Lytechinus pictus: one gene and its partner. The protein of the gene in region 2 purifies or fractionates together with the protein of the main gene of each other region. This does not show direct contact. Links are inferred from orthologs where the notes say so. Each region holds a gene or a part of one and is shown on either strand. Other genes may lie near its edges.

Evidence for each region.
Region 1: the proteins of syntaxin-like (region 2) and synaptosomal-associated protein 29-like purify together in Drosophila melanogaster (affinity purification with mass spectrometry; 3 studies listed by BioGRID, with this or other methods). This does not show direct contact. The link is inferred for Lytechinus pictus from reciprocal best matches to the Drosophila melanogaster genes Syx1A and Snap29.

The regions. Positions count from the first base shown.
Region 1 is NC_087246.1:3,633,454-3,650,656, reverse strand, and holds the start of synaptosomal-associated protein 29-like, read right to left. Parts: upstream 9,093-17,203; 5' UTR 9,089-9,092; coding exon 8,662-9,088; intron 5,474-8,661; coding exon 5,307-5,473; 3' UTR 1-5,306.
Region 2 is NC_087246.1:4,059,506-4,076,973, forward strand, and holds the start of syntaxin-like, read right to left. Parts: upstream 7,585-17,468; 5' UTR 7,555-7,584; coding exon 7,506-7,554; intron 1-7,505.

The DNA of each region.
Region 1 (17,203 bases), about 430 kb from region 2:
TAGAACTCCCACATGAAGTTTCAACAATGCAATATGTTAACCCAGAATGAAAAAGATAATTGGCAATTGTGTACCAGTAGAAGTAACATCGAAACAAACCCAATGTACAGTGTACTCCTAACAGGAGAACTTAATTTAATATAGGACAGGACCTAGGGTGGTGTTTCATAAAAACATGAAACTTTGCCAGTATTGTAACTAACCATGGAATCTTTGGTTGTGATTGGCTGATAAGCCCTTTTACAATTGTAGCAATGCAATGTTACCCTAGTTGTAAGTATTTATGAAAAGGTCTACAGAGAGTGTTCTGCAGAACGATACAGGGATCCCTCGGCTCATTCTTATCATTTTGAACAAAATGCAATTTAACAGAATATCCCATCATACCATACACGTATGTATACCAAAGAGCATAGGTACTTGATTGATTGCTTTTATTTCTGTATTCACATGCATCAGATATAAGTTTACAAGGTAATAATAATAATAATAATAATGCAGTTCTTGTATAGCGCATATCACATTATGTTATAACTCCCTATGCACTTCCAAAGGACTTGGATAAAGATAATATTATTAAGGTAATATATTATTAAGGTAATATATACAAATGCAAAATGTCACATATAGTTGTAGTATAATCATTGGATTAACAAAATATATTACTCATTAAACAAAATGACAATTAAAAGAATGCAGGAGACGGCAATCGTGAGAGATTAGGCTTAAAAAATGATGGCGAACTCGTAACCCACTGCCAACAGAATGTTGAATTAAAATAATGCATTACTAAACAGGATGATTATTCTTAAATGAATAACATTCTAAATGTGACATTATTTAAGATTTAGTATCAAGAATATACAGCGCGTCCCCCAAAAAATGTCTCTCTGACATAGGGCTGAATTAATTCTAAAATGTGGTAGTATTCTCAAATAAATGCTCATGAGTGGAAAGCTCATCTCGTGATCTAACTTCTATGAAAATTTCATTGGTCGCGCTTCAGCGGTTTTGAATACACACTCTGTTACGTAACAGTGGTGCATTTTAGCCCATTCCAAGTTTGCAGCATCGATGTATTTCTGCATTGTCTATAGCATATTAACCCCCATTTTTACATCCAGGATCTGAGCAGGGACATTTCCCTAATCATATCCAGGCTCATCAAATCATAAACTTGGGCATGTTCAGAAGGACAAGAAACATAAAAATTAAATTTTGTTTGATGATTGATAAGGGGAATCAGTGCACCATCTTGGAAAGAAAATGTGAATAATGGATTAGTAAATAAGCTGAAAAATAAAGGGGAATCCACAAGTTAATCACCCTTTGCGAAAAGGAACTTTACCAGAGAAATATTTGACATTTTTTCTTTTAAAAGTTACATTGAATTAACTTAACCACAGTAGCTTATTAAGTAAAAAAAGTAATGAAAACAAAAATGCCATATTAGGCATGAAACAGACATGACCTGTTGTCCTAATCATTGTGCATCTCCTGTTATCAAACATGAAATGGACTGTCAAATATTGTTTTTGCCCTTCTGAACATGCTCAAGGTTGTGATTTGATGAGCTTGGTTAGATCATGGAGATTTTCCTGGTCAGATCAGGGAATTCCTTGGTCAGAATGTTCAAAGGGGGTTGATTGATATGCTAGAAAGTGCAGAACACACAGCAGTGCTGCATACATGCAAACTTGGAATGGGGTGAAAAGCACCACTGTTACATAATAGACTGTGTAATCAAATCCACTGAAGCGAGACCAATGAAATTTTTAATTGAAGTTAGAACATGATTTGAGCTTCGTAGTTCCATACATATTATTGAGAATAATTTTTATTTTTTGAAGTAATTTAGCCGCATATCAGAGGGACATTTTTTCGGGGACGCACTGTATATAGGAGACTGGTTGAATTTGGGCAAAGATACAACAAAGGGAAGAACGGACACTTCAACGATTTTTTGAAACGCTCGATAAATGCTTATAAAAATGGGGAAGGGCGCCCAACAGCGTTGAGTAAGTAAACTCTCGCATATCAGCACGCGACTGTGTATAAAACATATGGGGGAAATGAGAGAGGGGAGGAGTTTGGAGAGGGCTCAAGGGTGGCACATGGGAATAATTCTATGTTTTATTACCAAAAAACCTCTGAAATATATTCATCTCAAATTCAAGGGGAAAAAATTGAAGAAAAAAAAATCTAAAATGTAAAAATCGTCTATTCCTTCACCCCTTCTCTCATATGTTTTGTACACAACCATCTCGCGATAAGCAAAGGTTAAAAAAGGTCGTTACTTACTCAACGCTGTAGGGCGCTCTTCCAGAGCATTTCATTACGCGGTCTATGTACTGTCCAATCTTCCCCTTGTAGTATCTTTGATTTGGGTAAACATTTAATACATTGTACTTTATTACAGTAACTTGTATTTGACACTGCTTAACCCTATATAGTCCAGGCTAGTATGAAATTGCATAGCCCCGCAGGGTGACAAGATTTGGACAGTTGGAAAAACAGGATACTTCGAGGTCTTATGTATAGGAATTAAAATGTAACCTCCCCAATCCAGAGGCTGCTGCCTCTATTTTTAAGTGAGATTACAGATAAAGGTTTGAATTGTCCTAAAATAATTAACAAATATATGAATATTTGCAATAAAAAATAGATCACTTTATCCATCCATGCTTTACTTCTTTACAATCTCCTCATCTTGTTTACAAATAATCTCCTTTTCAGTCGCATACAGTGGGTCACGTCAGTTGGGGGGGTAAGTCACTTATGAGTGCGCTCAATCGCAAGATTGGTATTTAGTAACACATTACACTTTTCAATTTTTTTAATTTTTGCAAAATAAAGTAGAACCAATTACATGTACCCCAAACCCCGGCTAATTCAATAAAATTCTGTTATATCAGACTTAGTGATCACTTTACATGAAATGCAAAGAGTGCAGATACATGTACAAATAAAGTTAAGAGATGCAGAAACTTTATATTGAATTCTTTTGAATCCATTTGATTTGTCATTTTCTGCACCAGATAGGACAAGCACACGGCATTATTCTTAAACAAGTGGAGCGCCTTTGGCAGTCTCACCTGCATTACGCCATTCAATATAGCAGCAGTGCTGACATTGAAAACTACTATAAAATAATTATTCACAAAAAACACCATTCATATAATGATACAATACTAAGTTCATTGACCCTAAATGACATTTGACCTTGATCATGTGACCTAAGACTTGTCAGTGATACTTGATTACCCCAATTTCTACAATTCATAAACTATATCCATAAACTTTGAAAGTTAATATTAATATTAATAATTACTTCTAACATGGCCAAAGTTCATTGACCTTAATGACCTTTAGCCTTGGTCATGTGACCTGAAACTCGCACAGGATGTTCATTGATACTTGATTACTCTTATGTCCAAGTTTTATGAATCAGATCCATAAACTTTCAAAGTTATGATGGTAATTAAACAAATACCCACAACTTTGCAAAAGTTCATTGACCCTAAATGACCTTTGACCTTGGTCATGTGACTTGAAACTCAGACAGGATATTCAGTATTATCATTTAGATGTAGGGTTTTAGAGGCGCAGATATTTTTTGATGTCTTGCGAGGTTGTTTCAAAGAGACAAAATATTAAAACTGATTTTTAACGTGCATGCCTATAAAAACCATCCAATATTGAAAATATTGGACGAAATGAATATTTTGCCCTGCCCACAAGATTATCATTGGTTAATAAATGAATGTGCGCATGAAGCTATTGTTACGTCACAATGAAATTGCATTGCGTATTAGTTGCCAGGAAGTGTGGTAAAGGAGCGTTTATTTATTGAATTCAAATGCGCTTGCACTATACGCTAGCGCATCTTTACTTTACTACAGAGATTTCTTTTTTTTTAATGACAATACTCAGGCGCCATGCTCATGATATTGGCCAAGTTTCATGAACTTTACAGGATTGCCATAAATGATGATGGTTACTAAAAACTTTTTTTTTTTGCTTCATTACTTTATGTTTAGCTTTGTGGGGGTATCTAAATAATAATACTAATATTGGATGACCAATTTTCGTGGGATGCGTAGAAATATTGTTACTCGCTGAAGAACAATATTCGATTCGTCTTCGACTCATCCAATATTGTTCTTCAGCTCGTACAATATTTCTTCGCATCCCACTCAAGGCCATCCAATATTCACTAAATATTTGATTACCTTTGTGGCCAAGTTTCATGAACTAGTTTCATATACTGTCTAAGTTATGATGACATTTCAAACACCAAACATTAGGTTAAGATTTTGATATTGACTCCCCAACATGGTCTAAGTTCATTGACCCTTAATGACCTTTGACCTTGGTCATGTGACCTGAAACTCAGGCAGGATGTTCAGTAATATTTGATTAACCTTATGTCTAAGTTTCATGAACTAGGTCCATACTTTTCTAAATTATGCTGTCATTTCAAAAACTTAACCTTCGGTTAAGATTTGATGCTGATGCTGTCGCCGTCGGAAAAGCGGCGCCTATAGTCTCACTCTGCTATGCAGGTGAGACAAAAAATAGCTTGTAATCATATCCTCTGGAATTGGCTTTGAGAAAAATCCATCATATCTTTCAATATGTTAAAAGCAAATTGGCTACTAACACTATGTGGCTGAAAGGTGAAAATTTTCACAACTTTTGGTGCATATATGAGTGACAAGGCTTAGAAAGTGACCCTTCATTCAAACAAAGCTTAAAAACATTTAAGAATTCATAAAGTCATACCTGCCAAGTACCAACACTGACCCCCTCCCCCTCAAAACAAATACAGAAACAAATAAACAAAACAACAACAATAATAATAACAATAATAATAGAAAAAATCTAAAATCCCAATTTTCAGCACAATTCCAAAATATATCATTAAAATATGCAAGAGTATTTAAAGAATGAACACATCTGGAAGGTGTTACATGAGAGTTATAAGCAGCTCTGACAATTTGGTTTTATCCTTGGATTTGATTGGCTGAGAAGAACTGGTCTGTAGATTAGTTAACTGTCAGTGCTGGTAACTTTCACCCACTGCATTGAGTATTGACAACAGGTAAATTAACAAAATATTTACCATGAAAGATACACAAACAGCAAATGTAATAATCTAGAAATGAGAGAATTCATGTTGACTGGATATTGACAAAAATATGATCGAGGGGCAAAACATTGATGATAAAAAAAATATAATATAGTCACATCGTTAAACCTAACTGAGGAGAGACGGCTGACAAGTTTCCTGATACCAGCCTTCATTATCTTCTAAGGATCTTCTTTACTTCTTTGTCTGTTTTACCCAGTTTGTCATCTACTCTCTCTACCTTGCCTGTTATCCTGTCAATATCAGCATTCTGTCTCTCCAGTTCATCATTCAATCCCATGGCAAGTCCCTTTAGGCGACCAATACCTGAGCCAATTTCATCTAGTTGATAGGGAGAAGAAGAAGATAAATATAAGAATGATTGTAATTTGCTACCTAAATCATCTACAATCAAATGAGCAGGATAAATGTATTTCAACAGGGCAAAAACCTTAAAATATTGCATTGATAGTTATATGCATGGTAACTACAAAATATATATATAAAGAATATAACATGCAATCTGAACAAAATATGCAAATTACACTTTGCATCAATCCATCGTGTAGTTTACATTTCATGTATTCTTAAGGAATTCCTCAGATGACAGGAAAATAAATCTAAACACAATTTCTATGCTGTTTAATCAATATAACAATAAAAATTACCTCTATTTTGACTCTACTCTTTTTCAAATTTCTCTCTTGCCATAAATTCTATACTTTCAAATCAAATTTCTAGCATTAATAATAATGATAATAACAATAGCTGGATTTATAAATCGCTTTTTGCCAGAGGGTACAGAGCGCTGCTATATTACACTGGCTTTAGCAGTGCTACCCATATAGGCAATCAAACATTCATCAAGGTATTTATTCCTAATGGGGGTATATTTCATTAAATGCAGTTAAGAAATATTCAATCTTCATGAGTCTACATGTATAAGTAAATTGAATTGTTTCTTGTCCAAGTTGTTAGAAAATGGAACTGTAACAATTTCTAGCCATGTTAATAAGGATTTTTAATTCAATAGGTATGATTAATATTATGAATACTCAGTTTCAATGAATATGGATTTCAAAAGTCATTTTCAATTCATCATTCAAGGAGTTCTACTGCAAAGACAAATCAAAACTCATCACTCATTTCCTGAATGAAATGGGTGAAGGAAGGGATGGAGGAAACACTATCTACAGACATTAGAAAACTGTAGACTACCTTAGTGTAAGCCAATGAAGGAAACAAATCATACAACTAGATTACTACACCACTAATTGGTATTGATGTAGAAGAAGAGTGTTCCACTTTCCCTTTGTTAACAAATCAGAAAAAAAAAATTGAGAATTATCAGCAATCAGAAAGTATCATTATCCTCAAAGGAAACAAGACAATGCAAAATTTTCATTAAAAAGATTAATTTAATTTAATTAATTTTCATGAAACATGAGGCATTAGGAAGTTCTGGTTAACCTTTGGTAATCTTATTTCCATGTGTTCTATTGCGATTTATATGCATATTTTAAGATAAGAAAAAACGGTGACTGATTGTGTATCATTTATAATCCCAATTTCCAAGTTTCCTCCTAATATTCCAGAGACAAAAGGCACATGTGTAGAGATCATGTATCTCTCAATGTTATTGAAGTAATTATATTTATGTGTGGAAGTTTGCGGACCAAGCAGGCCTGGGACCAAGTAATATTTCATATCATAAAAATTGTCTTTTTCTCAATTTAGCCAACAAAACCAAGGTCTGGAAAACTGTTTCTTTGTATTATGATCTGATGACCCTTGGTAGTCGCAACTATCACATCACCTATATGTTCTGATTAAGACTAGAGATAATCTCTAGGCAGCAAATCTCCTTTGATCAAAGAATCACGTTGAATGTCTATCTAAAATAGATCCATGATTCAACTTAAGATCTCCTCCAAGAAATTCTGATTTCAGGGAATCCAGCCTTTGCCATAAAATGTTGTGTTGGGAAGGAGAAAAATAAATTAAACAGAATGGTGAAAGTTTGAAAGAAATCGGACAAGCAATAAGAAAGTTATAGCTGCTTTAAAATTAAGATCACTAATAGTATGTAGATTTCAAATTGGCAACTGGGTAAGTAAATTATGACAAGGGGCAAGGACAACTTTCCCATAGGCCATGTACTTTATTATCAGGGATTTGTGGTTTTCTCCTAAGTACCCATTCCCCTGGGGCAGTAATCTAAATATAACCCAGGTAGTATATTGTTTAATGTCCTCATGAAAGAAAAATATAATTTGAAATAAAACTTTTGGGAAAAATGACATTTTAGCCATAATATGTATTGGAGTACATGGAAGAGTAGTCCTTGCCTTACATCACTATGACATCCCATATGCGGCCAATTTGAAGTCTCCATGAGTATAGTGATTACCAATATTTACAACTTTTAAAAATTCATAACTTTCTTGTTGTTTGTCCAATATTGTTCAAACTTTCACCTATAAACTTGTCTGATTTTTCTTTTTCTTATAAAAACAAGTTTTTATTTGGGTTGGATTCCCCTTTAAAAGAAAATATTTTTCATAATAATGAACAAATATAAACTTTCAGCAAATCTAAATTCATCTGATCTGACCTACTTTTCAGAATGGAATTAATCATGTGGCAATGTTGCTGATTTAGCAGAGTTGTAAATTGTTTGTTGGGGGAAATGTCAATAATCTAGTTTTTGCTTCCATGACGCACAACAGATTAAAGAACATAGAAAATATATCCATGACATAGCACAACCAAAACTTGGTGAATCACAATGGCAGTTTCATCTTGGAGTCAGGACAAACGACAAATTTGCAATTTTTTGTCAGCTCTAGAACTTAGGACTAAACTTCTGTTCCGGTTCATCAATATTCAACAAAGACCTCCCAGCTGTTCTTTGTCATTGACAGGCACTTTCAATATATTTACTGTGTTCTTGAATCTGTCCCTATTGCAGTTGCAAAAAATACCTTATACAGAGACAATGCTGGTTTGCTCTCGATAAAATAAGATTGTGTATTTAATCTGAACAAGTGGTATGCCTCTGGCAAATCTAGTCTAGATCCGTGTATGTGCTGTGCCATGGACTAGAAATGGCCTGGTGGTAGAGACATGCCTACCAATCAATAGAAAACAAATTCATATCTGTCTGGTTCCAAGATTTTTTTTTTCTGACTTATTTTCTAGAACAAACATGATATCTTATTATACATGTATTACCTGGTGGGCGTTTCATAAGGCTGTTTGTAAGATAAGAGCAACTTTAAGAACGACTGGTGATCCTTTCTATTGGTAAATGGTATACACCATTGGTGATTATTCAGCGCGTAAGAAAGGCTCACCAGTCTTTCTTAATAAAGTTGCTCTTAACCTACATGTACGAACAGCTTTATGAAACGGCCCCCAGGTCTCTTTCTTTTATTCTCTATCTCATTACTTCTCCAATTTTGTGCTTTGTAGAAAAGTCATATGTAGTCCATTTCATTTTCAGTTTGTCACTACAATATATAGCTTACCTAGATTAGAATTGAGATGATTATCAAAGTCCCTCATACTATGTGACTGCAACACGTTACTGCTAGACATTCCACCATCATTCTCCCCTCCAAATCCTCCTGTACAAGATGAGCCCCAAGAACCTGCACTGGGCTCCGAAGCACCCACCCCTCTGAGCTTCAGAGCAGGATGATCAGAGTTAGCTCTTCTCATCTCTTCCTCTGCTTCCACCCTCTCCATGTGTGTCTTAAGGTTGCTAGAACCGTGTGACGGGGCTTGCTGCTCCTGCTGGCCAGCTTTGGGTTTGTTGAAGTAGTTTACAATGCCTCCAAATATTGATTTCATTGATGTGATATGTTTCTTAGATGTATCAAGGTCTTTGTCCATCTTGTCCAGTTTGGTGTCCACTCTCTTGAGTTGTTCACCTTGGTGTAAAAGTTCCTGCATAGGTTTTTTTTTTTAATATGAAAATATACATAATTTGTGATTACAAAGTAGAATTTTTCCCTACTTCAATTTCCTCTAATTTGGGATATCATCAAACATACAATCAATAAATTATTTTCATTTCATAAGGACCATTTTTTTTTTCATATTGGGGTGATTGCTGAATTCTGGGGCTTTTTTTTAATTTCAAGGTGCTACTTTCTTGCACAGTAGGCAATTATATGGTTATTCTGCCATATTGAATATACTGATTTTCTACATATTTTTCAATATTGTTTGTGGCAGATCTTAGGGCAACTTGAGAGAAGAGCGTCATCCCAAAGTTTTTGATTTGAAGAATTTTAGGAGGCAAGTTGGGCAAAATTACCCATCACAATATGTTTTTCCTACACTGATTCAAACACAGGAAATCATCTAACCTTCTTTTTCTTTTATATATATATATATATATACAGTGCGTCCCACAAAAAACGAAGCCGAGATTTATTGGTGATTTATCATATCTTAATCACAAATACAATAGACAAATGACCTACAATTGTAAAGCTTACAATCTCCCCTTATCTGAAATTACTTAGATTATTTCTCATTCACGCATGAGTGAGCAAAAACAATTTGAAGAGGGGATACCAAAGTCATTTGGCAGACTGTATCTGGGTTTCAAAAAGAAAACCACATTTTTAAAAAGTTTAATATCTGCTCTTTAATTTGATACCTCAATTACAGAAAATGTTCAGGAAATAACAAAGTTCTGGTTATTTGAAATAAGGCTTGAATTTCAATAATTTCATAAAATGAAGAGGTTCTACAGGCTAGCGTTCAAACTCACTTCTTGACACTCCGTTTTGTTGACGATCAGCCATGCATTAAGCATGTTAAGTCTTTTGTTAACCATGCGATAGCTTCTGTGGGAAACCGATGAAAACACGTTTATTTAATGAAATTATGGAAATACAAGCATTGTTTCGAGGGAACATAACTTTTTTTACTTCTCGACCATTTTGTCTGATTAAGGTATCAAATACAAGAGCACATATTGAACTTTTTAGGCATGTGATTTTCTTTTTGAAATTCAGATACCCCCCGCCAAATGAGTTTTTTGCATCCTTTCTTCAAATTGTTTTTGCTCACTCATGCGTGAATGAGGAATAATCTAAGTAAAATCAGATGAAAGAGGAGATTCTAAGCTTTACATTGGTAGGTCATTTGTTGATTGTATTTGTGATTAAGTTGTGATAAATCATCGCTTAATCTCGCTTTGGTTTTTTCTGGGACGCACTGTATATATATATGCAGGCTCGCACTAACACACTACCGTCAGTGAATGGGGATGATAGTAAAATGTCAGAAATTGTTAAATCCCCAGAAATGATTGTTATTCCTGTCTAACCATAGTCCTACCTGTAGAATCCCACAGGCAGGATGGTTGCAGTGAGCAAGTGAGTTAAGAGTGACTGAAAGGAGAATGAAACCCTTGAAACTAGCTGAATCCATATCAAAGAGAAAAATCAAAGAAACATATTGTTGAAAGTTTGAGGAAGATTGAATAAATGATAAGAAAGTTATGAGCATTTGAATATTGAGATCACTAGTGCCATGTAGATCCTCCCATCGGCAATGCGACCAAGATCTGTGATATCACACACGTACAACTCCCTCATTACTTTAGTACTTATTTCACTTATATTCTCACTTTTATAGAGTCTATCACAAGGTTATGTGTTTTCTTTATGAGATGACAAGTACAGAGGTTTCACAACATTATATCATTGATGAATCGTTTGTCATATGATTAGAATGAGCAAAAAGATATGTTTTGGGGTATATTTTCAGTGTCCGAATGGGAGAGTTGTACGTGCGTGACATCACAGATCTTGGTCGCATTGCCAATGGGAGGATCTACATAGCATTAGTGATCTCGACATTCAAATGCTCATAACTCTTTTATTGCTAGTCCTATTTTACTCAAAGTTTTGTTGATCTTATTCTTTGATTTTTCTGCTTTCACAAAAGCTAACTTGCTCCAAGAGTTTCATTCTCCTTTAAGTCTTTAGTTAGGAATGACTGGTGAACCTTCTTCTTAGTATCTTACATTAAATAATCATCAATCATTAACATGATCAAATAAATGGTGAATATCATTTACCACAAGGATCACCAGTAATCATGGTCATGCCAGTTGTTGAAGTCACTCTAACTTTTAAACATAGTGAACAGCTTTATGAAACAGGGGCCCGTTTCTCAACACCGTCATAAGTCTAACTTCTTGACTAAATCGGAGATAGTGAGCTACTTGTCCGCTAACCGTTTCACGAAGCCCTCTTTACCAAGATCGGGTACAACAACCTCACTAAATATTTATGACACCTCCGAACCTGTCTTAACTTCTTTCTTAATGACGTAGTGGCATCACGTGGGTAGACTATGACATGCGAAAGTGCCTAGAAATTTTAAAATTATAATCTTACATAATCAATCATAGAGATTGAAATTACATCACAAAACAAGTGGGTTAATGCATTCAATGATAATTGTAATACAAAGAAACTATAAAAACTGTTGGTAAACGCCACAAAACCATTAATTTTGAAATAGTAAAATGATTTAATCGATAAAGATTCTAGTTCTACCACGTCAGGCCATCCATAACAGAACTCGTATTTGTTGTTTTCAGACCCCTATTAACAGTTGGATGAATTCTATCTCTAATTTATGCATATAATTTGTCCAATATCGTATCTTTCGGTATCAATTATTAACAAGTGGAATGCCTCTGGCCGTCTCACCTGCATCACGCGATTCAATATAGCAGCAGTGCTGATTTTGAAAACTACTATAACTCGCACAAGATGTTCAGTGATACTTGGTTACTCTTATTTCCACGTTTTATGAACTAGACCAATACACTTATAGAGATATGATGGCAATTCAACAAATACCCCCAACGTGGCCAAAGTTCTTTGACCTTACATGACCTTTGACCTTGATCATGTGACCTGAAACTCGCACAGGATGTTCAGTGATACTTGATTACTCTTATGTCCAAGTTTTATGAACTAGACCAACACACTTTCAAATTTATGGCTGTAATTCAACAAATACCCCAATTTGGCCAAAGTTCATTGACCCTAAATGACCTTTGACCTTGATCATGTGACCTGAAACTTGCACAGGATGTTCAGTAATACTTGATTACTATTATGTCCAAGTTTCATGAATCAGATCCATAAACTTTTAAGGTTATGATGGTAATTCAACAGATACCCCCAATTCGGCCAAAGTTCATTGACCCTAAATGACCTTTGACCTTGGTCATGTGACGTGAAACTCATGCAAGATGTTCAGTGATACTTGATTGACCTTATGTATAAGTTTCATGAACTAGGTCCATATATTTTCTAAGTTATGATGACATTTCAAAAACTTAACCTTAGGTTAAGATTTTGATGTTGATTCCCCCAACATGGTCTAAGTTCATTGCCCCTAAATGACCTTTGACCTTGGTCATGTGACATGAAACTCAGGCAGGATGTTCAGTAATACTTGATTAACCTTATGGCCAAGTTTCATGAACTAGGTCCATATACTTTCTAAGTTATGCTGTCATTTCAAAAACTTAACCTCAGGTTAAGATTTGGTGTTGACGCCGCCGCCGCCGCCGTCGCCGCCGCCGTCGCCGTCGGAAAAGCGGCGCCTATAGTCTCACTCTGCTATGCAGGTGAGACAAAAATGTTTCGTTAACTATATTTTGATGACGTTTGGAATCGTAATGGTCCGTATAATTATCATCATTTTACAAAGAAAACCGTTATGGTTTACTTTCGTAAACTATTAAAATTGGGTCTCCCGGGGGTACCCATCTCAACGTCCACAAGTGATTTTTTAGTCATGAAATGAATTATTTTCTCTGAAATTGAATGCTCCAGTCTTCATGGTCTAAGTATGTATGATGCATAATTCACCTGTGCTATTATTTTGAAAAGATTTATTTCCCAATTCATCATAATATTTGCAATTTTGTAATAATTTTTCTTTTTGAAAATTATGCTATTTTGTGACTAAGGCTACGTCTCGTCTGCTCTTTTTACCGATAGTATCGATATCAAGGTATTCTAGTTAGGAAGCCTTTCGAGAAACAGGTTTAGTAAGATTGGAACTAACTCCGTGGTTGGTGGATAAAGATATGACTAACTTGTCCATGTGTTGAGAAACGGGCCCCAGGGCCCCAAGACCAGCTGCCCCGGGGGGGCCACTTACATTGACGAGTGGATACCATGCGCGACCAAAAAAACACGTAAAAAGGATGTCTTTTTCACGATAGGGCACGTTACGTACGTAACGTGATAAGGGTGTCAAAAACACAAAAATAATGAAAAAAGGGTGTAAGATTTAGAAAGTGTATTTTTTCTTTGAAATATTTAACATGACGTCAGAGACGTTATTGGGTCGTAGTATCATTTATCTGGGTCGATAGAGGGCGTTGGAAATTTGCCTTGCCAAGATCGACAAAGATTTAAAGTTCAGCCCGTCGTGACTTTACAGTAGAATTCAAGATAATCGGTACAAGTCCAATGTTGTAAGTAAAAGGACCTTTATATTTCCGTAATGTAATGTTTAACTGAATATATGGAACCAAAATTAACTCGAGACGATAATTAATTTGTTGTTAATTTAGCTCATAACTTTGGTGAAAGTGTTTGGAGTTAACGTATAGAATACAGGTGTGATAAACGTATATTGACATTGTACATTAATAGGTAATTGGACATGCACATGAAGAGTGTTGCGTAATAGCATATTGGTACGGTACTGTGTGGTAATCTCGCACACAGTGCATAGTAGGCTATTCATGTTCAGAGTTGTAAACGAAATGGAATGTCAAATAAACAAATGTTGTTCTTTGTTAGCTACATTTGGCTCTAGTTGTTGAAAAGGATACAGTATATGTATGAGTTTGGAAATAAGGCATTAAAGCCAGTTTTTGGTGCATTTTAAAGCCCTGATAATTACAAATAACACATACAGTGAAGGTGAAATGAAAGCCTAGTTATTTGGTTTGAGTAAAGTTATTGCTAGTCAATAATGCCCCAGAGTATATAGTTTAGAGGCAAGGTAATATTTAAGTATCGTAGTTGATATAAAGGACAAATGAGACAAAGTAAAGGTTTTGTTTATTTAACCGCATATAGCAAAGTTTATTCAAGGTCATTTGAATACATTGACAGAATTTGACAGGTAAATTTGTTACAGGAAACCAGAATATTTATTTATGCAAGATTCAAACGTCACAAATAATTTGTGCAATACATAGACTATTTATTTATCTCATGCAAGTACATAAATGTAACTGCATATACAGATGCTTATTATTGTTTGTTTATATTTTTATGCTACAGATTGAACATGCTCGATGGTATGCTCGATGGTATGCTAGATGGTATGCCCAGATTGTATATTTGATGCATCGTATGATAACTGGAAATTCCGCGTCACCGAGTCTTTTGTTTGAGTACTGTCTACTGTCAAGTCACTAGTAGTTATACGTCACATAAAGTTCAATAACATTGTCACCGTAAGAACAGTCGTCACCGTCACCATCAAGAACAGTCGCCATGAGTGGATCATCTGAAAGTATCAAGTCCGAGGACTCGGCCAGCCAAGGTGGTAAGAGTTCAACAGCGTCATCAAGGATAAAGACGAAGGCCAAGAAGGCAGCCCTGGCAGCAGAGCTAGCATCCTTGAGGGAACAGCATGAGTTAGAGCTTCAAGAATTTCATCTACAGCAAAAGAAGGCACAGTTTATGTTAGAAACTAAGCTCAAAGTTGCAGCAGCAGAAGAGGCTGTATATGAACAATTTGATCAGCATCCCAGTCAACTCGACATTAAGATAGAACCCACAAGTGAAGAACTTGGTCAACAGCAGCAGCCCATTCAGCCACAGATTCAGGCCAGCGAGCATGGCAACAATGTACGTCAGGAGAATTTGGAAGACACAATGCCATACCCGCAGCACAACCAAGATTTGTATCAGTATCAGCAAATACAGCATCGTTTGTTGGAAGCAATAAGCCTGTCAAATGTGGAAATCATGAAGTTTAACGGTAACCCTTTACACTATCATGAGTTCATGGCATGTTTTGATAATTTGATAGGCTCGTCTACACTAGACAGAGGGACAAAGCTCATGAAGTTGTATCAGTGCTGTGAAGGGGATGTAAAGAACATCATACAGTGTTGTATGGTAATGGATCCAGTGCTAGGATATCAACGCGCCAGAGAATTACTGAGAGAACGCTTTGGCAGTAGATTTAAGATAGGAGAAGCATGGATTGAACAGATAACTAATGGTTCAGCACTTCATGCAAATGATAGAACTGGACTACGCAAGTTTGCTGACGAATTACAGGTATGTCTTGAGACTCTTAAGGCATTGAATCTGACAAAGGAAATCAGCAGTAACAGAGAGCTGGTCAAACTGGCAGAAAGACTACCATTTCATCTCAAAGCTAGATGGTTGAAAGTAGTGAGAGACATTAGGCAAAGAGGTCGATCTCCAGATATCACTGACATGGTGAAGTTTGTATCTGATGCCGCCGAAGAAGTTAACGATCCAGTCTTCGGTGAGCTGACTGCGACTTCTCCAAGATCAGCATCTAAACCAAGCTTCAACAAGCAACATTCAAAGAGCAGCTACTCTACAGCAGTCACTGATAATTCAAGCTTTCCTAAGCCCAAGAAGTGCTTCAAGTGTTATCAAGACCATACCTTGTTTGGTTGTGACAGCTTTAAGTCCATGACACCTGATGAGAGATTTAAATTTGCACAAGAGAACAGACTATGTTTCAATTGCTTGCAACACGGTCACACCAGCAGAATTTGTAAGTTGAACCGAACATGCTCAGTACCAGGATGTCAGAGAAAACATACAAAGTTTCTCCACTTATTTCGGGAAAGCTTGTCACCTGAAAGAGGTACTCCGCATCAAGAGATAGAGAATCAGCCTCAACCAAATAAACACTTGAGATCTTCTTCCACTCAAACGCCACTTGATGAAATCCAAACAGCTCAGAATAGCTTCATTGATAAATCGGTCACAGGGACCGGTAGGTGTGTACTTCCCATCGTTCCAGTTACGGTAAGGGCTCACAACGAGAGCAAGTCTGTTGAAACTTATGCTCTCCTAGACACTGGTTCTACCAGCACGTTTTGTACAGCAGCCCTATCCAGACAACTTAATGCAGTGGAAAGGAAGCAAAGTCTAAATCTATCAACACTTGGAAGATCTAACAGCACAGTAGATACATCAGTTGTTAGCCTCATAGTAGACACAGGCAAAGATACAGAGATAGTGAAGTTACCATGTGTATATACAAGAGAGTCAATCAACGTCAAAGAATCTCACATTGCCAAGATGGAAGACATCAGAGGATGCAACCACCTAGAAGGAATCAACATTCCTATCGTCACACAACATGAAGTTGGACTTTTGATCGGACAAGATGTGCCTGGAGCATTGATACCTATAGAAATTAGAGCATCCGAGGATGGACCTTATGCTGTAAGAACCAAATTAGGATGGGCAGTAAGTGGTCCTGTCCAGCCCAAGATGCCAGAAGACATACACACAGCTACTACAAGCTTTGTTGGTAGCGACATCAAACTGGAGGATGGCAGACTTCAGAGATTCAGGAAGAATGAAAGCTCAGAAGTTCTTCAGAAGGACAAGGTTTCGTCCGTCAATGTTAGTAATGCGTCAGCTTTCCGGGAGAGTAGTGGTAAAAAGGATGGAGTTCACAACCTATCGCCAACGTCATTTGAGAAGAAAACGCCAAAACTACCAGACGACATTTTGACTGCAGAACAGCGTTTGCAGTCGTCACCCAAGAGATTACTGATAGATGATACACTTCAGAAGAAACACCAAGTGGACGTAGAACATATGCTAAGTAACTACTCTATAATGAAAGTTAATAAGACAGAACAATTAGAAGATATAACCTCATTGTACTTACCTCACCATTTAGTCATAAGTCCACAAGTTATTAGTGATTGTGTGGCAAAGCATAATGAAGAAGCATTACCTGACAAGGTTCCACAGGGGCCGGACCTGGCCA
Region 2 (17,468 bases):
TTCAGCTGGTCAATAACTACAGCAAATCTGGATTTATTTCAAATCCATGAAATTAAGCATCCTTCCTCATTTTTCCAAAGGGACCATCTTCTTTTTAAATGTTTGTAAAATGAATCTTGACAAAGTGCTTAAAAATTGAAATAGTTTTGCACACAGACCAAAAAAAATCCATGCTGGACCCATAGGCCTATCGTGCAAATAAAATATTAAAAAAAAGATCATCAATGGAATGGATGTAAAAAGGAAGCTATAAAATAAACCTTTTAATTATCAACAACAGCCTAGACTCAAATTTATGGTATATGGACATCTTTTATTGTAATCTATGAAACCATTGAAATATTTTGAGTAAAAAATCAATACGTGATTATCTTAATGAAATGTATAAATACCCATATTCTTCTTGATTAACAGTATACATGTACACATCTGTTTATCTCTAATTAAAGACCCAATGGCTGCATATAGGAAGGCTGTGCAATGTGCCAAGTTCTGGTGAAATATCTGACAGCCATGTATACGTGAACATGACTGACACAAAAGAAAGTTGTATTTAATACTTCTAAATACCCTTTTCTCACGAGCAAAATTTTCCTTGACCCCATAACTATAGGTAGGTTTAAATTGCAAGTTAGCCAAACCTATAGTCTAGGGTTTAGCTTAGTCCAATTTTTTTTTCTCAACACATTGTTGCAAAGTGGGCTAACCCATCTGTAACATGTATAGAACAAGATAATTTGCCCTAGAAAACAGCAAGGTTAGCTGGGCAATTGCATGATAGTCCGGGGTTAAGAGTAATGTTGAGAAAAGAAACCCGGTCAAGTCAAGGATGATAATACAAGTAGCGCTAATATCCAATCACAGCTAAGCACTGATAAATTGGCTACCACTAACTTTTCGGAGCATAGCAATTTAGGCCTAAACAAAGAAATCCCCCCCCCCCCATTCTTATGAAGAGTAATAGATTTTCATTCATTTGAGCACTGAAAATTGTCAGGGCCATTTTCCACTGAAAATTGAAGAAAAAAAATTGCATCTAAAATCTGAAAATATAATTTTTTTTTCTACGCGTGTACAAACCTATGGAAAAACAACCCTTCTGAACAATGTGACGTCATGCAATTCAGGCTTGAAAAGCCTTTTGTTGAAACGGTTAATTTGAGCTTTTCTTTCGCAAAATACTCAGCTGTCAAGCGGTAAATATGCATAAAATTTAAAACTTACATAGTTGTAGTATGGAGCTTACATAATTTCCATTTTGTCAATTTCACTTTTACCTCCAGTCTGGGTCTTTAAGTCCAAGTACTATTAAAGGATAACTACACATTCACTGTATTATCAGAGCCACATTATGCACATTTAAAATTGCTTTGGAAAAGCTAGGATTTGCAATTTTTTCTTCTAAAATCTTGACCAAAACTGGTAGTAAATGAGAAGTAAGAATTGATATGGCAGCAATCTAAGAGTGTAGCTTTAATTGGAGCGGTTCAGTGAAGCATTGAATTTGGTTTCTCTGGACTCCATTCTCATTAGGACACAGTGATGTATGACAGTAGGGCTCCTAGCTGTCAAGTGTCTGATATCTGATATGGTGATAGAGAGATTGATAGGTGAACAGATTGTGATATTAGTGAGAAATAAGGGCTTCTTCATGAAGAAATGGTAAGATAAAGGGATACAAAAAATAAAAACAGTAAATGGATTGTATGAAAGTGAAGAGATATCCAAAGAAAAGATACAAAATATAGAATGGATGGATAGATGTTTATATAGCAGGGCAAAGACCAGTACTGCTGAGACGACTATACTACATTAACCATTGGGAGATTCTATCGCTCAGTGTAAAGAGAGCAAATGGGAAGTTATTAATCATCAGAGTGGCCAATCATCGCTTGAGAGATGATTCTGATACCCTGAGAAAGGGACGTAGGGAGGAGGCCAAACTGGGAGGAAGGGAGAGAGAAGATGGAAAACATTGTTGTTATAGAAGACTGAGAAAAGGTGTACATGGAGGAGGAGTGAGAAATAATGCCTAAGCTTCACAATATTTGCTTTCAGTATTAAATCCAAGAATAACTTGCTTTATTTTAAGCTTCTTGTAATATCAAATAAGGTGAGCGTAATGATAAATAAACATTTTTGACAGATGAAATAAGTTTATAGTGGTTTTGGTGTATGAAAGAAAATGTGAAGGATAGATATATTTAAACAGATTGTGATGTATTATTTTTCTAAAGCTGATTTTAATGATACTATGGAAGTCTGATTCATAGCAGTCAGAAACCACATGACCCTCTAGCATGACATTTGAGTGGAAGAAATGATGGAATTCTCGAATAAAATATATAATTACAATAACAGTAAGGCTTTGAGTTTCTAAAGAAATTCAATAAATAACACTGACAAGTAAAGCAGTAAAAGAAAAACATAACAGAAATTGTCAGAATGCTAACATGTCTGACAATAGAGCATTATACAAGTTATGTTCATTATCATTATTTTCAATATTAATATTCAGTGAATTTAAGAAAACTCATATATATATATATATACATACATACAGACACAAAGAAAAGCTGTAAAATTGTGTACAATTTCCAAGTTCATGGGTAACAAATATAGTAGGATAAAGAGATTAATGCGCAGCAAGGTCAAGAATGGAAGTTATTCGACTAAAAATACATTAGAGTATTGAAGCATTATAATCTCAACAGAAAAATTAAACAACTGATCATTATTCGTTTTCAATACAAAAAATGATTAAAAACTTGTTTTAAACAATGTGCAGACATAAGTTTATAACAAAACATTGAAAAAATGCTATAGAATTCCAAAATAAATTGAAACGAATGAAAAGAATTGCTACACACAGTAAATTACCAATGCCATTGTCAATACTAGAGCCTATAGGCCTAAGTACTTGTAAAATTAGTATAGGTTGAATGTATGTAAAAAGCAGCAAGTTATTTAGGTTATTCAGAGCTAAAATACTATTATAATTCACAGAATATACAGAGTGAAAATCATGAACCAGATTTGTATTTTGCTTCCCATATACACTACATCACAGGAATTCAATAAACTCTCTTATAAAACTCATTCTTTCTGATTGAAATGCCATCTTAATATTATCCATGAAAAGTAGATTACTCCAATATATTTTTTCCTCTAGCATTGATGATATATCAAGGCCCCAAATATTCTTCATAACGATGCCTACGAGTCATGCATAGGACATGCCTATGCCAACTAAATTGGCTTGGCATAAAATTCCTTATCAAATTTGCAAAAGGCTGTATTTATAATGTATACGGATAGTCTACATATGCACATCCCCTTGTGTTCATTTCAATCATGGCTCACTCAATGTAATTGTATCTCAAAACTCACTCCATCCTACAGGACGCCGGGTCTAAATAAGATTGAAAAATGCTCAATGCTCAATGCAAGTACACGCAGTTTCTCCCGTTTTGGCCACGAATCAAGCCCGATTATTGATCCTTAAATGTGAGAGAAGCGGTATTGATTGGGTTTGGGAAATGATGAAGAGAGAGTTTTGAATTACAGTATGAAATGGTAGAGACTACTCGTGGAGGATAGGTCGCTGGTTTTGACATTATGATGGAGATGGAGGCAACTGGGATGGTGTCAGTGCCGTGGCATTGAGATGAAGAAGCTCTCATCCAGACTACATCACAATGCATGCATGGGTATATGTAAAGCAAACATGTCCCCATCTTTTCAATAAAGGTCTTATGGGGGCCAGTGAAAAAATTAAAAGATTTTCAGTATAGGGGCTATTTTCCAAATTTAGGATCCTTCTAAACTACATTTTGTAATGAACACCATGACTCTTATGAAACTTATTTTAAACTTATTTGCAAATATTATGCACATACATTAGCCCATATACATTTTCACCGTTACATATAGAATATTCTGCACAAGACAATGTGTAAAAACTCTTCTTTGTTAGAATATAAGCAATATTTTGCCTTACAAACCAGTTTTGTTTTTAGTATCCCAAATTTAAAATTGAGAAAGCAAATCCCTATGATCAATTACATGTACAGTTGTACCATCTATTTATACTATTTATAAATATTCCTGTTGTTATTTTTGGTCCCTTTTTTAAAACAAGTGGAATGCCTCTGGCCGTCTCACCTGCATCACGCGATTCAATATAGCAGCAGTGCTGATTTTGAAAACTACTATAACTCGCACAAGATGTTCAGTGATACTTGGTTACTCTTATTTCCACGTTTTATGAACTAGACCAATACACTTATAGAGATATGATGGCAATTCAACAAATACCCCCAACGTGGCCAACGTTCTTTGACCTTACATGACCTTTGACCTTGATCATGTGACCTGAAACTCGCACAGGATGTTCAGTGATACTTGATTACTATTATGTCCAAGTTTTATGAACTAGACCAACACACTTTCAAATTTATGGCTGTAATTCAACAAATACCCCAATTTGGCCAAAGTTCATTGACCCTAAATGACCTTTGACCTTGATCATGTGACCTGAAACTTGCACAGGATGTTCAGTAATACTTGATTACTATTATGTCCAAGTTTCATGAATCAGATCCATAAACTTTCAAAGTTATGATGGTAATTCAACAGATACCCCCAATTCGGCCAAAGTTCATTGACCCTAAATGACCTTTGACCTTGGTCATGTGATGTGAAACTCATGCAGGATGTTCAGTGATACTTGATTAACCTTATGTATAAGTTTCATGAACTAGGTCCATATATTTTCTAAGTTATGATGACATTTCAAAAACTTAACCTTAGGTTAAGATTTTGATGTTGATTCCCCCAACATGGTCTAAGTTCATTGACCCTAAATGACCTTTGACCTTGGTCATGTGACATGAAACTCAGGCAGGATGTTCAGTAATACTTGATTAACCTTATGGCCAAGTTTCATGAACTAGGTCCATATACTTTCTAAGTTATGCTGTCATTTCAAAAACTTAACCTCAGGTTAAGATTTGGTGTTGACGCCGTCGCCGTCGCCGCCGCCGTCGGAAAAGCGGCGCCTATAGTCTCACTCTGCTATGCAGGTGAGACAATAAAAACCTTATTCTCCACAGAACAAGGTATGTTTGGCACTAGTTTGGAATACTCGTAAACAGATGAACCTGCACATTTGACCAACTGTTCATTATAAAAAAAGCATGTTGATGTTTATTTTTCATAGTACGTATTTCGCTTTGTGAGAAAAATTATTATTAATCTTAGTTACTTGAAATATAAAAGAGATTTGAATTGATTTGACAGTTGATTTATTTAGAATATATGCCATTTATTACTTTATGTTCTATTAAAATGACTACCTACATGTATCATGCTTTTTTTTAAATAAAGTTGTTGGATTTTACAATCATGAGGGACTACATAATTGCAAATCTATCTATGTCTTTGCAAAACATGTATGAAGCAAGTGTGTATTAATTAAAAGTTACAAACATTATTTGTAAAGCAGCAATTAGATACACATCATCACAGATTTTAGATGAAATGTGTGCTATATAAAAGCAGAATTATCATTTCATGCTTGGAATCACATCATGGAAAAGTAAGTTTACTTTTAATACAATTATTTATTATTATTCACATACCATTTTACATACAGGTGTATCTGTATTTCTTCCATTAAATGATTGCTTTTTGAAGACTTATTGTTCGCAATTCATCAACTCTTGAAATGAATTGTGATATTAATTTTTCAAACTCTCAAAAATATGGTAAGATCTGAATAGTCTTGGGGGGGGGGGGGGGTCATTATCGCAATCCGCAAACTCTTTGTGTAAAAGACCTATGTACATGTATTATGCAGTTTAGAGCATTTTTCACCTATACCCTCCCGCCCTTCCCATCCTCCTCTATTCAAAATGCTGCTTTATTACCAAGGCACTACTTGTATTACCCAGCCACTACCGAGTTCACAGAGTTTTCAGGACACACAAAGTCACACATAAATTTACATGAAGCAATAGCTTGCCATGCTCTGTCTTATGGGTTTAGGAAGTGTCATCATCATCACCAATGATAGGGACATCTTAGGTTTAGAAAACTCTCTTGGGTTTCATTCTTATTGTCGGATTAAAAACTAGACCTTGTCAGGTAGTGATATGCATCAATAGTGGACAATTGTTTTGTAAAAGATTAAAGCATATTAGAATGAAATAACAAAAAAGTTTAAAAGTTTATGCACTTGACCAGAAGAACCTGACAATAATTATATGATGAAATACGTTTCCTATATAAAACAATGCATGAAAAACTACCAAACAGTGTATTTTCAGATGCTTATTTGTGATGATTTTTTTAATTCTCAATTGCACCATTTATCAGAACATTGGACCCCCTAACCCCTGACCAAAAATGGAATATTGTGAGCAGAGGGCACTTACAACTGACTGAACCTTAATCTCTATGTATCTGGATGCATACATGTACTGTATGTCTCTTACAAATATATGTGAGGAGCTGTAGCAGGTATTCCCTGCTGCATGCATGAAAAAAAAAGATGTAGGGGCTATTATATGCCTAATAAAGATAAAACATTAACAACAAAAACAGAAGTGATGGACCCCAATTTTTTTCAATCTGTCACAGCACATATTCTTTCGAGGAGGTGGTGCTGTGACCTTTGTCTTCTGAACTAGTGATGCCAAAATCTAATAATCCTCACTCTACATTGTACACACATATTGCCAAATACATGTATAGTGACCTTTAATATTGATACCCCTAACTAATCAGATCTTCATACTTCATCCCTCCTATACTTACATGTAAAACAATTGTTTGGTCAGCAAGAGAATGGAAAAGGGAAGGACAGATAACCCTAACACATAATGACCAATAGCAACCACCCTGTGAAAGTAAATATCCTAAAATTGTAATTCAAATTTCACATGAAAAAAGTAACATTCCATGCATCACTCTAATAATGTATGCAGGAAGTAGCTTTCATCAGAAAAAGTAAACATAAATATGGATTTCATACATATTCATAGGAATGGAAATCCCATTAGTTGTTCACGTGAGTGGATTGCACGGGACCTGAATGTAAGTTCAAGACTCGAGTATATATTTTATATTTCTACACCAATTTCGCTTTAAAAAATGTTGCCCGTGTCTGTAATTTATAATATAATATCGATACAGTGAATGGAGTAACTTTCATTCTAGCTGACAGAGCAGTTAAGTGCCACCTCTCCCACTACTAAAAATAAAAGCTCTTTTTGTATTAAATAACATTTGATTTCATTGTCAGTACTATTGAATGTCTTTCAAATTCCAGTTCATGGTAAGTTACACACGTAACTATTGAAATTGTAAAAACAATCTCCTTGTTTTTGCATTACACACAAAGAGACAGTAAATGGTTTCTTCATTTGAAATACGTTACGATGAAAGGGATGACCGATGTTAGAACATGAGAGTTCATGAAAAGGTTAGTGATGTTTACTTACTCTTTAATTTTGCTCTGACTTTGTTTGCTGTTTTCTTGATGTCACTCATCAACTCCTCCAATTCATCTTTGACTTCTGCAAATGGAAAATAAAATAAGGAAAAAAATAATTAAATATGCCTCTAAGTTGTGAAGTTTTTTTCTGGGATGAGGGCACTAAGAAATAGAGGAAGGGGGTGGAGTGATGAGGAGGAAAAATTATGGTGGTGTAGGTGATTTGATAAATGATGATGATGATTTCAATGATGATAAAAAGTGATGATGGTCGTAGTGATGGTGAGCATTGTGGTAATGGTAGTGGTGGTGATTATGATAATGATCAGTTTCATATTGGTGGTGGTGGTAATGTTGATTACATGTACGACTAAACAACACCAGAACAATGACAAATTATCTCCTTTAAAGAGAGGGAAAAGGGAAAGGCGGAGGGGAAGATGCAACCTACTGCTAATCTTCTTTTACAGCTCATCCACAAATTGTGAAAATTTGTAAGAATTTCTTTTTATTACAAATACAACTATCAATCCACCCCCCCCAAAAAAAAAAGACTACAAACAAAACACTTGCTTTCAATTAATACTGATTTCTTGTTTCAAAGGCTATATCATTACATATATGTTTTACAAAAAATACACCATCTCTTAATTTGTACATACTAGTTTCACATCAGCAGTAGATATCATAATACCAATTCACACAGAGTAAAATTGGAAAAAGTTTCAATTACACTAGATAAATCATCTGTGAAGGGAACACTTGTGTACTTAAAAAAAAATTTAACCATAGGGCCTGCACATATTATATACTGTATATATCAAAGGTTGAGTCAGAACCTGTTCAGAAAGTCCATCTCTTAATCAGAGACTACATGTATATGTACTTTCTGTTTTGTTTTGGCAACCGAATGTAGAAAACTACAGGTCCTATGGATGTACTGTTCATACTTGTAATTTATTTCTGTACTAATGTGAAGTTTCCTTCCTTGATTATGAGGGCCTATGGTTTGCTGGTAATATGTAATCAGTTCATCCAACAATGTACCGAATGCAATAGAACAAATTATTTCAAGGAATGTTTATCAGGTACCTTTACTGTATGAATGCTACTATGAGGCGCCGAATGTACCAATATTATATAGAACAATTATTTGTTATATAATCATTATTTATTAAATAATAACTATTATTTATATATAATTTACATTTTATTTGTAAATAACTACTATTATATAAAATATCATTTCTAATTATTTATATATAATTCCAAGTAATACTTCATTATTTGTAAATAATAATAGTTCGACATTCCATTATTTATAAATAATGATTATTTGTTTTTCATTATTTGTAAATAATGATTATTTGTTTTTCATTATTTATAAATAATGATTATTTGTTTTTCATTATTTATAAATAATGATTATTTGTTTTTCATTATTTATAAATAATGATTATTTGTTTTTCATTATTTATAAATAATGATTATTTGTTTTTCATTATTTACAAATAATGATTATTTGTTTTTCATTATTTATAAATAATGATTATTTGTTTTTCATTATTTATAAATAATTTGTTGAGTTTTCCATTATTTATAAATAATGATTATTTGTTAAATAATGAAAACGTCTACTTCATTATTTATAAATAATTTTTTCGAGTGCACCATTATTCTCATTATTTATAAATAATCATTATTTAATGTTCGAGTTTTCCATTATTTATAAATAATCATTATTTATATACAAATAACCATTATTTATTAAATAATGCCATTATTTATTAAATAATGCCATTATTTATTAAATAATGGAAAACTCGCTATAACATGCAAATGTGGGACCGCCCATGATATGAATATTCATGATGCGATTTCCTTTTTCGTGATTTTTCTTCACAAATTTTTGTCCATTTCCTCTTCATAATGACATTTCTTGAAGCAATTTTCTAGGGATATGGTCTGATTGTAATATTCTTCATTTTCTATATAACTTCGTCTTCGTAGAAATATCAAAAAGTGTAATTTTATACGATTTTTCCTACAGTTCACAATCCCCATAGGCGCGCGTGTACGGTAGGGACAACCGGTGAATCGACGGAGTGCTCTTCATCGAAATACTACGTTGGTTGGTCCCCGGAAGTGGCGGGCGGAATTTAGCCCGAATCCTCGATGGAAGTCGATCAAGTGCATATGAGCTGAGAGAGTGAAATATCAGTGTACTTGTACAGGCCCTTCTACTTTTTATAAATATTTCTTGTTGCTTTTTTTGTTAAGTTAATTTTTCCTGGTGTAGAAATAAGTTTCAGTTCTAATAATGCACTTCAAATACATTTTGGAGTGTCTGTTTGAGGCGTTTGGGGCGATTTCACCCTGGCCCCAAAATGCTCGCAACGACAATACGGGGGCATGATGACCCCTTAATTTTTAAAAACTTATTTTTCTATTGAAAATTATCACAAAATTCACCAAAAGTGTGCACGAAAGCCTTCGTATTTCACTTTTAAAACTCCGAAAAGTGCCCAAATGACAAGCTTGGTCGCTTCGCTGTGTCGCTTTCAACTTGAGAACGTTTACGCGTCTGCTCCCCCCCCCCCCCCTCCTCCGAAAGAAATTCTGTATACGGCCATGCTCTAAAGAGCCTGGCACATTGATTTATGTATACTTTCATTTTCATTATTTTTATCTCATTATCAACATGGCCTTACGCAGAATTTTTTCCAGGGGGGCCGGGGCCGGAGCATGACGCGCGTAAACTTTCTCAAAAAAATCTTGAAAGCGAGACAGCCACGGGACCAAGCCCAAATGACAAGCTTTGTCGCTTCGCTGTCTCGCTTTCAACTTGAGAACGTTTACACGCGTCTGCCCCCACCCCCCGAAAGAAATTCTGTGAACAGCCATGCTCAAAAGAGCATATGGCACATTGATTTATATGTACTTTTCATTTTCATTATTTTTATCACATTATCATCATGGCCTTACACAGAATTTTTACCGGGGGGGGGGGGGGGGGGGCAGCTAGGACGCGCGTAAAGTTTCTCAAAAAATCTTGAAAGCGAGACAGCGACGCGACCAAGCTCAAATGACAAGCTTGGTCGCTTCGCTTTCTCAAGATTTTTATGAGAAAGTTTACGCGCGTCCTGCTCCCCCCACCCCCCCCCGGAAAAAATTCTGCGTAAGGCCATGATGATAATGAGATAAAAATAATGAAAATGAAGTATACATAAATCAATGTGCCAGGCTCTTTAGAGCATGGCTGTTCACAGAATTTCTTTCGGAGGAGGGGGGGGGGGGGGGGGGGAAGCAGACGCGTAAACGTTCTCAAGTTGAAAGCGACACAGCGAAGCGACCAAGCTTGTCATTTGGGCACTTTTTGGAGTTTTAAAAGTGAAATACGAAGGCTTTCGTGCACACTTTTGGTGAATTTTGTGATAATTTTCAATAGAAAAATAAGTTTTTAAAAAATTAGGGGTCATCATGCCCCCGTATTGTCGTTGCGAGCATTTTGGGGCCAGGGTGAAATCGCCCCAAACGCCTCAAACAGACACTCCAAAATGTATTTGAAGTGCATTATTAGAACTGAAACTTATTTCTACACCAGGAAAAATTAACTTAACAAAAAAAGCAACAAGAAATATTTATAAAAAGTAGAAGGGCCTGTACAAGTACACTGATATTTCACTCTCTCAGCTCATATGCACTTGATCGACTTCCATCGAGGATTCGGGCTAAATTCCGCCCGCCACTTCCGGGGACCAACCAACGTAGTATTTCGATGAAGAGCACTCCGTCGATTCACCGGTTGTCCCTACCGTACACGCGCGCCTATGGGGATTGTGAACTGTAGGAAAAATCGTATAAAATTACACTTTTTGATATTTCTACGAAGACGAAGTTATATAGAAAATGAAGAATATTACAATCAGACCATATCCCTAGAAAATTGCTTCAAGAAATGTCATTATGAAGAGGAAATGGACAAAAATTTGTGAAGAAAAATCACGAAAAAGGAAATCGCATCATGAATATTCATATCATGGGCGGTCCCACATTTGCATGTTATAGCGAGTTTTCCATTATTTAATAAATAATGGCATTATTTAATAAATAATGGCATTATTTAATAAATAATGGTTATTTGTATATAAATAATGATTATTTATAAATAATGGAAAACTCGAACATTAAATAATGATTATTTATAAATAATGAGAATAATGGTGCACTCGAAAAAATTATTTATAAATAATGAAGTAGACGTTTTCATTATTTAACAAATAATCATTATTTATAAATAATGGAAAACTCAACAAATTATTTATAAATAATGAAAAACAAATAATCATTATTTATAAATAATGAAAAACAAATAATCATTATTTGTAAATAATGAAAAACAAATAATCATTATTTTATAAATAATGAAAAACAAATAATCATTATTTATAAATAATGAAAAACAAATAATCATTATTTATAAATAATGAAAAACAAATAATCATTATTTATAAATAATGAAAAACAAATAATCATTATTTATAAATAATGAAAAACAAATAATCATTATTTATAAATAATGGAATGTCGAACTATTATTATTTACAAATAATGAAGTATTACTTGGAATTATATATAAATAATTAGAAATGATATTTTATATAATAGTAGTTATTTACAAATAAAATGTAAATTATATATAAATAATAGTTATTATTTAATAAATAATGATTATATAACAAATAATTGTTCTATATAATATTGGTACATTCGGCGCCTCATACGCTACAGCATGTACATGTAAGGTTTACAAACATTGTATGATACGCTAGTAGAATGCTGTCATTACAAATACCAGCACACATGTATACAACAGAGAAGTATCTGTGCACACACATGTGAACGCTAGTATAAGAGCAATATCAAAACACATAAGTGAACGCTCCATCAGACAATATTGGCGCACATATGTGAACGATTCATTGAGCAATATTTGGTGTAATATAGAATCATGGATTTTATTGATACAGACTCGTGACATTTGATAGCGGAGCACTGCACATTGGATGGGTTTGATGGAGTAATAAAGACCTGCACAAACAATCTACCTTTAGCCTCTATGCCAGACTGCACTCTTATTCACTTCATACTCATTTGTAGACAAATGATGGCAATACTTTGTAACAACAAATTATTTTCAAATAATTATTCATTTTCCAGTTCAGTAACTCATTTTCATATTTTGCCATTTCACTGTGACATTAACTGGCTAATTTTGCACTTGTACTTTGCCTCATCCATCTTTGAAAATTTATTGCACATCGAAACAAAGCAAATTCATGTCACAAATAATTGAAATAAGTACAAGTATAGGTGTATGTCAAAATATTGGATAATAGAATAAACATTACTACACTAAATAGCTGCATGTAATCACATCAACCTTTCCCCTATGGAAATTTAGGACATGTCGAAGATTGCTTTTCACTTTTGTATCAAACACTTTTATGGTAGGCTACCAATTTGCAATGAGCCCAATATCATGCGCCTATGAGTGTACGAGGTTTATGAGTTAATCATACATGTTAATGATGAGGTAATCATGAGAGAATGGATGATCTAGACTTTAAAACATTAGCTCAATCTTCCTGGGGTAAACATTTATTTCCTCTAACCTTTATGCAGCACGATACAGGTATATGGAGAAAGAATACTGACCGGCAATATATTCAGATTTTACAATGAATACATTGAAACATCCCTTATGTGCACAGCCTTGGAGATAAGCTGCTGAAATTATTCATTAATAAATATACCGGTATTTGTATCATCATTTAAATCCTATTTGTTCATTCATATATTAAAAAATTAATGGATTTACCTATATATTAATGTATTTTATTTAATCATTGATTCATGTATTTGTTTTTATTTGATTTATTAATTTATTTAATCATTTATTTATTTTATTCTATTTTATCGATCAATTTTTTCAGTTTTTCTTTACTGATTCAGAAGTGTAACAAGTACATGTATCTTCTGAGAAAAGGAGTATTATATAAAGCTGGTAACAACTACCTATTAACATTTTTAAAGAGGAATGAGAAGAAAAAGTGCCTTTCTATCAAGTGACTATCTAATGAAGATGTGACTCCCATCACAGGCAGGAGGGTTACGGGCACTATCTATCAAGTGACTATCTAATGAAGATGTGACTCTTATTACAAGCAGGAGGGTTGGGGACCCTTTCTATCAAGTGACTATCTAATGAAGATGTGACTCCCATCACAGGCAGGAGGGTTACGGGCACTATCTATCAAGTGACTATCTAATGAAGATGTGACTCTTATTACAAGCAGGAGGGTTGGGACCCTATCTATCAAGTGGCTATCTAGTGAAGATGTGACTCTTATTACAAGCAGGAGGGTTGGGACCCTACCTATCAAGTGACCTTCTAACGAAGATGTGACTCTTATTACAAGCAGGAGGGTTGGGACCCTACCTATCAAGTGAATATCTAATGAAGATGTGACTCCCATCACAAGCAGGAGGGTTGGGGCCCCTATCTATCAAGTGACTATCCATGAAGATGTGACTCCCATCACAAGCAGGAGGGATGGGGGCCCTATCTATCAAGTGACTATCCATGGAGATGTGACTCCTTTCACAAGCAGGAGGGTTGGGGGCCCTATCTATCAAGTGACTATCTAATGATAGGGTGTCTGAAGCCACACTGAAAAGTGTCAGCATAAAACAGGCTGATTTTAGGGAAAATATGGCACATTTTTGGGGGAAATTCAGGCTGCTAGAAAAATGTGATCTGAATTGATTATTAACTTGTATATGGCATGTATGGAAAGAGAAAGTTCAGGGGCTTCTTTTGACAGTAAGGACAAGTTTATAGGATTATTTGAAATAAGGATTTAGAGATAAATTGCAAACCCTTATTTGTGTGTGTGTTGAGATTGCCATTTCCCCATGCGTTTTCTATGGGAAAATAACATTTCTGTTTTGCACAATTTTTTTCACTTTGTCGCAATTTTTCATTGTGATCTGGTTTCCAAATCTTTATAAAAATCATACCATCAGAAAGAGCATGAAAAATCATATTTGACTCTTTATGGAAAAGTTTTTGGCATTAATAACAAATTTATAACAGCTCTCGGAAGCTAAAAATTTGGATTTGTGTGTGTCCATTTCTTAACTACACAGTCTATGGCAGAGAAATGCTGAAAATTGACCTAATTTCATTCTTCTTTTTTGCAGCCAATAATTTGATTTTTTTTTTAATGTTACATTTCTGTCAGTCTGAAGGTCATTTCTCTTCAAATTCACAAAGAAAATGTGATATTTTCTTGAAATAAGAAAAATAATTTTTTTCTCCAGACACCCTACTAATGAAGATGTGACTCCCATTACAAGCAGGAGGGTTGGGGGCCCTATCTATCAAGTGACTATCTAATGAAGATGTGACTCCCATCACAAGCAGGAGGGTTATGGGCACTATCTATCAAGTGACTATCTAATGAAGATGTGACTCCCATCACAAGCAGGAGGGTTGGGGCCTTATCTATCAAGTGACTATCTAATGAAGATGTGACTCCCATCACAAGCAGGAGGGTTACGGGCACTATCTATCAAGTGACTATCTAATGAAGATGTGACTCCCATTACAAGCAGGAGGGTTGGGGGCCCTATCTATCAAGTGACTATCTAATGAAGATGTGACTCTTATTACAAGCAGGAGGGTTGGGGCCCTACCTATCAAGTGACTATCTAATGAAGATGTGACTCTTATTACAAGCAGGAGGGTTGGGCCCCTATCTATGAAGTGACTATCTAATGAAGATGTGACTCCCATTACAAGCAGGAGGGTTGGGGGCCCTATCTATCAAGTGACTATCTAATGAAGATGTGACTCTTATTACAAGCAGGAGGGTTGGGCCCCTATCTAACAAGTGACTATCTAATGAAGATGTGACTCCCATTACAAGCAGGAGGGTTGGGGCCCTACCAATCAAGTGACTATCTAATGAAGATGTGACTCTTATTACAAGCAGGAGGGTTGGGCCCCTATCTATCAAGTGACTATCTAATGAAGATTTGAATCCCATCACAAGCAGGAAGGTTGGGGCCCTATCTATCAAGTGACTATCTAATGAAGATGTGACTCCCATCACAAGCAGGAGGGTTACGGGCACTATCTATCAAGTGACTATCTAATGAAGATGTGACTCCCATTACAAGCAGGAGGGTTGGGGGCCCTATCTATCAAGTGACTATCTAATGAAGATGTGACTCCCATCACAAGCAGGAGGGTTGGGCCCTATCTATCAAGTGACCATCTATAAATGAAGGTGTGACTCCCATCACACGCAGGAGGTTGCAGGCTCTATCTATCAAGTGCTACATGACCACTCTGGAGGATGACCCACGTTACCAGCATAAGAATTGTGGGCCCTTTTTATCTAATGAAGATGTGAACCTTTTTTTTACATTTCAATATATATTCAATATATTAAAGCAATATTGCCATAATCTACAAAAAGTTGAATATATAAAGTGACGTTTGCAGGATTTGATTCACAATTTTATGAAGTTTTTTTTAGGCCTAAATGTTCATTGTATCCATGAATAGGAATGATTTCCTTGTATCTTGTTTACAGTGTCATGGAGTCATGTAGAATTTCATGAACATGGCTGATCATTGGTTATGTAGTAATGTTACCCTACTGCTGCTTGAAAATAAAAACCCTGAGATAAAAAAAAGCGGAAGTAGACATCCTGAGCTTGGAGCAGAGATGCACACCTCTCACTTCTTGCTGAGTATGTACGATCTCTTCTCATGATATTGGTGGGTGGCGTAGTACTAAAGGCTGACATGCAGACAGAATTATTCACACACACAAAACACACTCCATTTCATATGCACACAAGGCCCCCCTGACTACTTAGTCTCCATTAAAGACCCAGATTTCCCCTCTGTTTTTGTGCTTCCCCCACCCACACATGTACGCTATGAACCTGATCCTGTTTGTTTTGGCATAACCCATGGAGTTTGTTATTTTTTTATATACATTTTTTCCATCTGAGATCCCTTGCTATCTAGAAATTACAACCAATATTTTTCCAAGTTCATCTGAATCAGGATTTATGACACAAAATATATCCCTATTAAGACTCCATTTTTATTCTATGATTCTTACATTTAATTGTCATATTACTGTCATTTCTATAGTCAATTTTAAATATTATACCTACATGTATCAATGATCCACTCATTAAAGGGATGGTCCGGGCTGAAAGTATTTATAGCTTAATAAATAGAGTAGAATTCACTGAGCAAAATGCCGAAAATTTCATCAAAATCGGATAACAAATTACAAAGTTATTGAATTTTAAAGTTTAACAATATTTTGTAAAAACAGTTGTCATGAATATTCATTAGGTAGGCTGATGATGTCACACCCCCACTTGTTCTTTTGTATTTTATTATATGAAATTAAGTTTATTCAAATTTTTTCTCCAAGAACTAGACAAATTTGATTGACAACTGATATAGTGCATTAGATATTTATTGCTGCAACTTATTTCATTATAAGGGAGACATATTATTCACACAAGTATAAAATAATGAAAAAATTATGATTTTATGTAATAACATAAGAAAACGGAAAGTGGAGATGTGACATCATCAGCCCACCTAATGAATATTCATGATGGCTGTTTTCACAAAATATTGCTAAACTTTAAACTTCAATAACTTTAATATTTGTTATCCGATTTTGATGAAATTTTCGGCATTTTGCTCAGTGAATTCTACTCTATGTATTAAGATATAAATATTTTCAGCCCGGACCATCCCTTTAATTCTAATGAATGAATTCTATTCATCTTTTTTTTTCTCTAATATTTCTTCAAAGTAGCATACACAGGATTTTTAAAGGGAGGGGGATGGTCAAGCTGAATG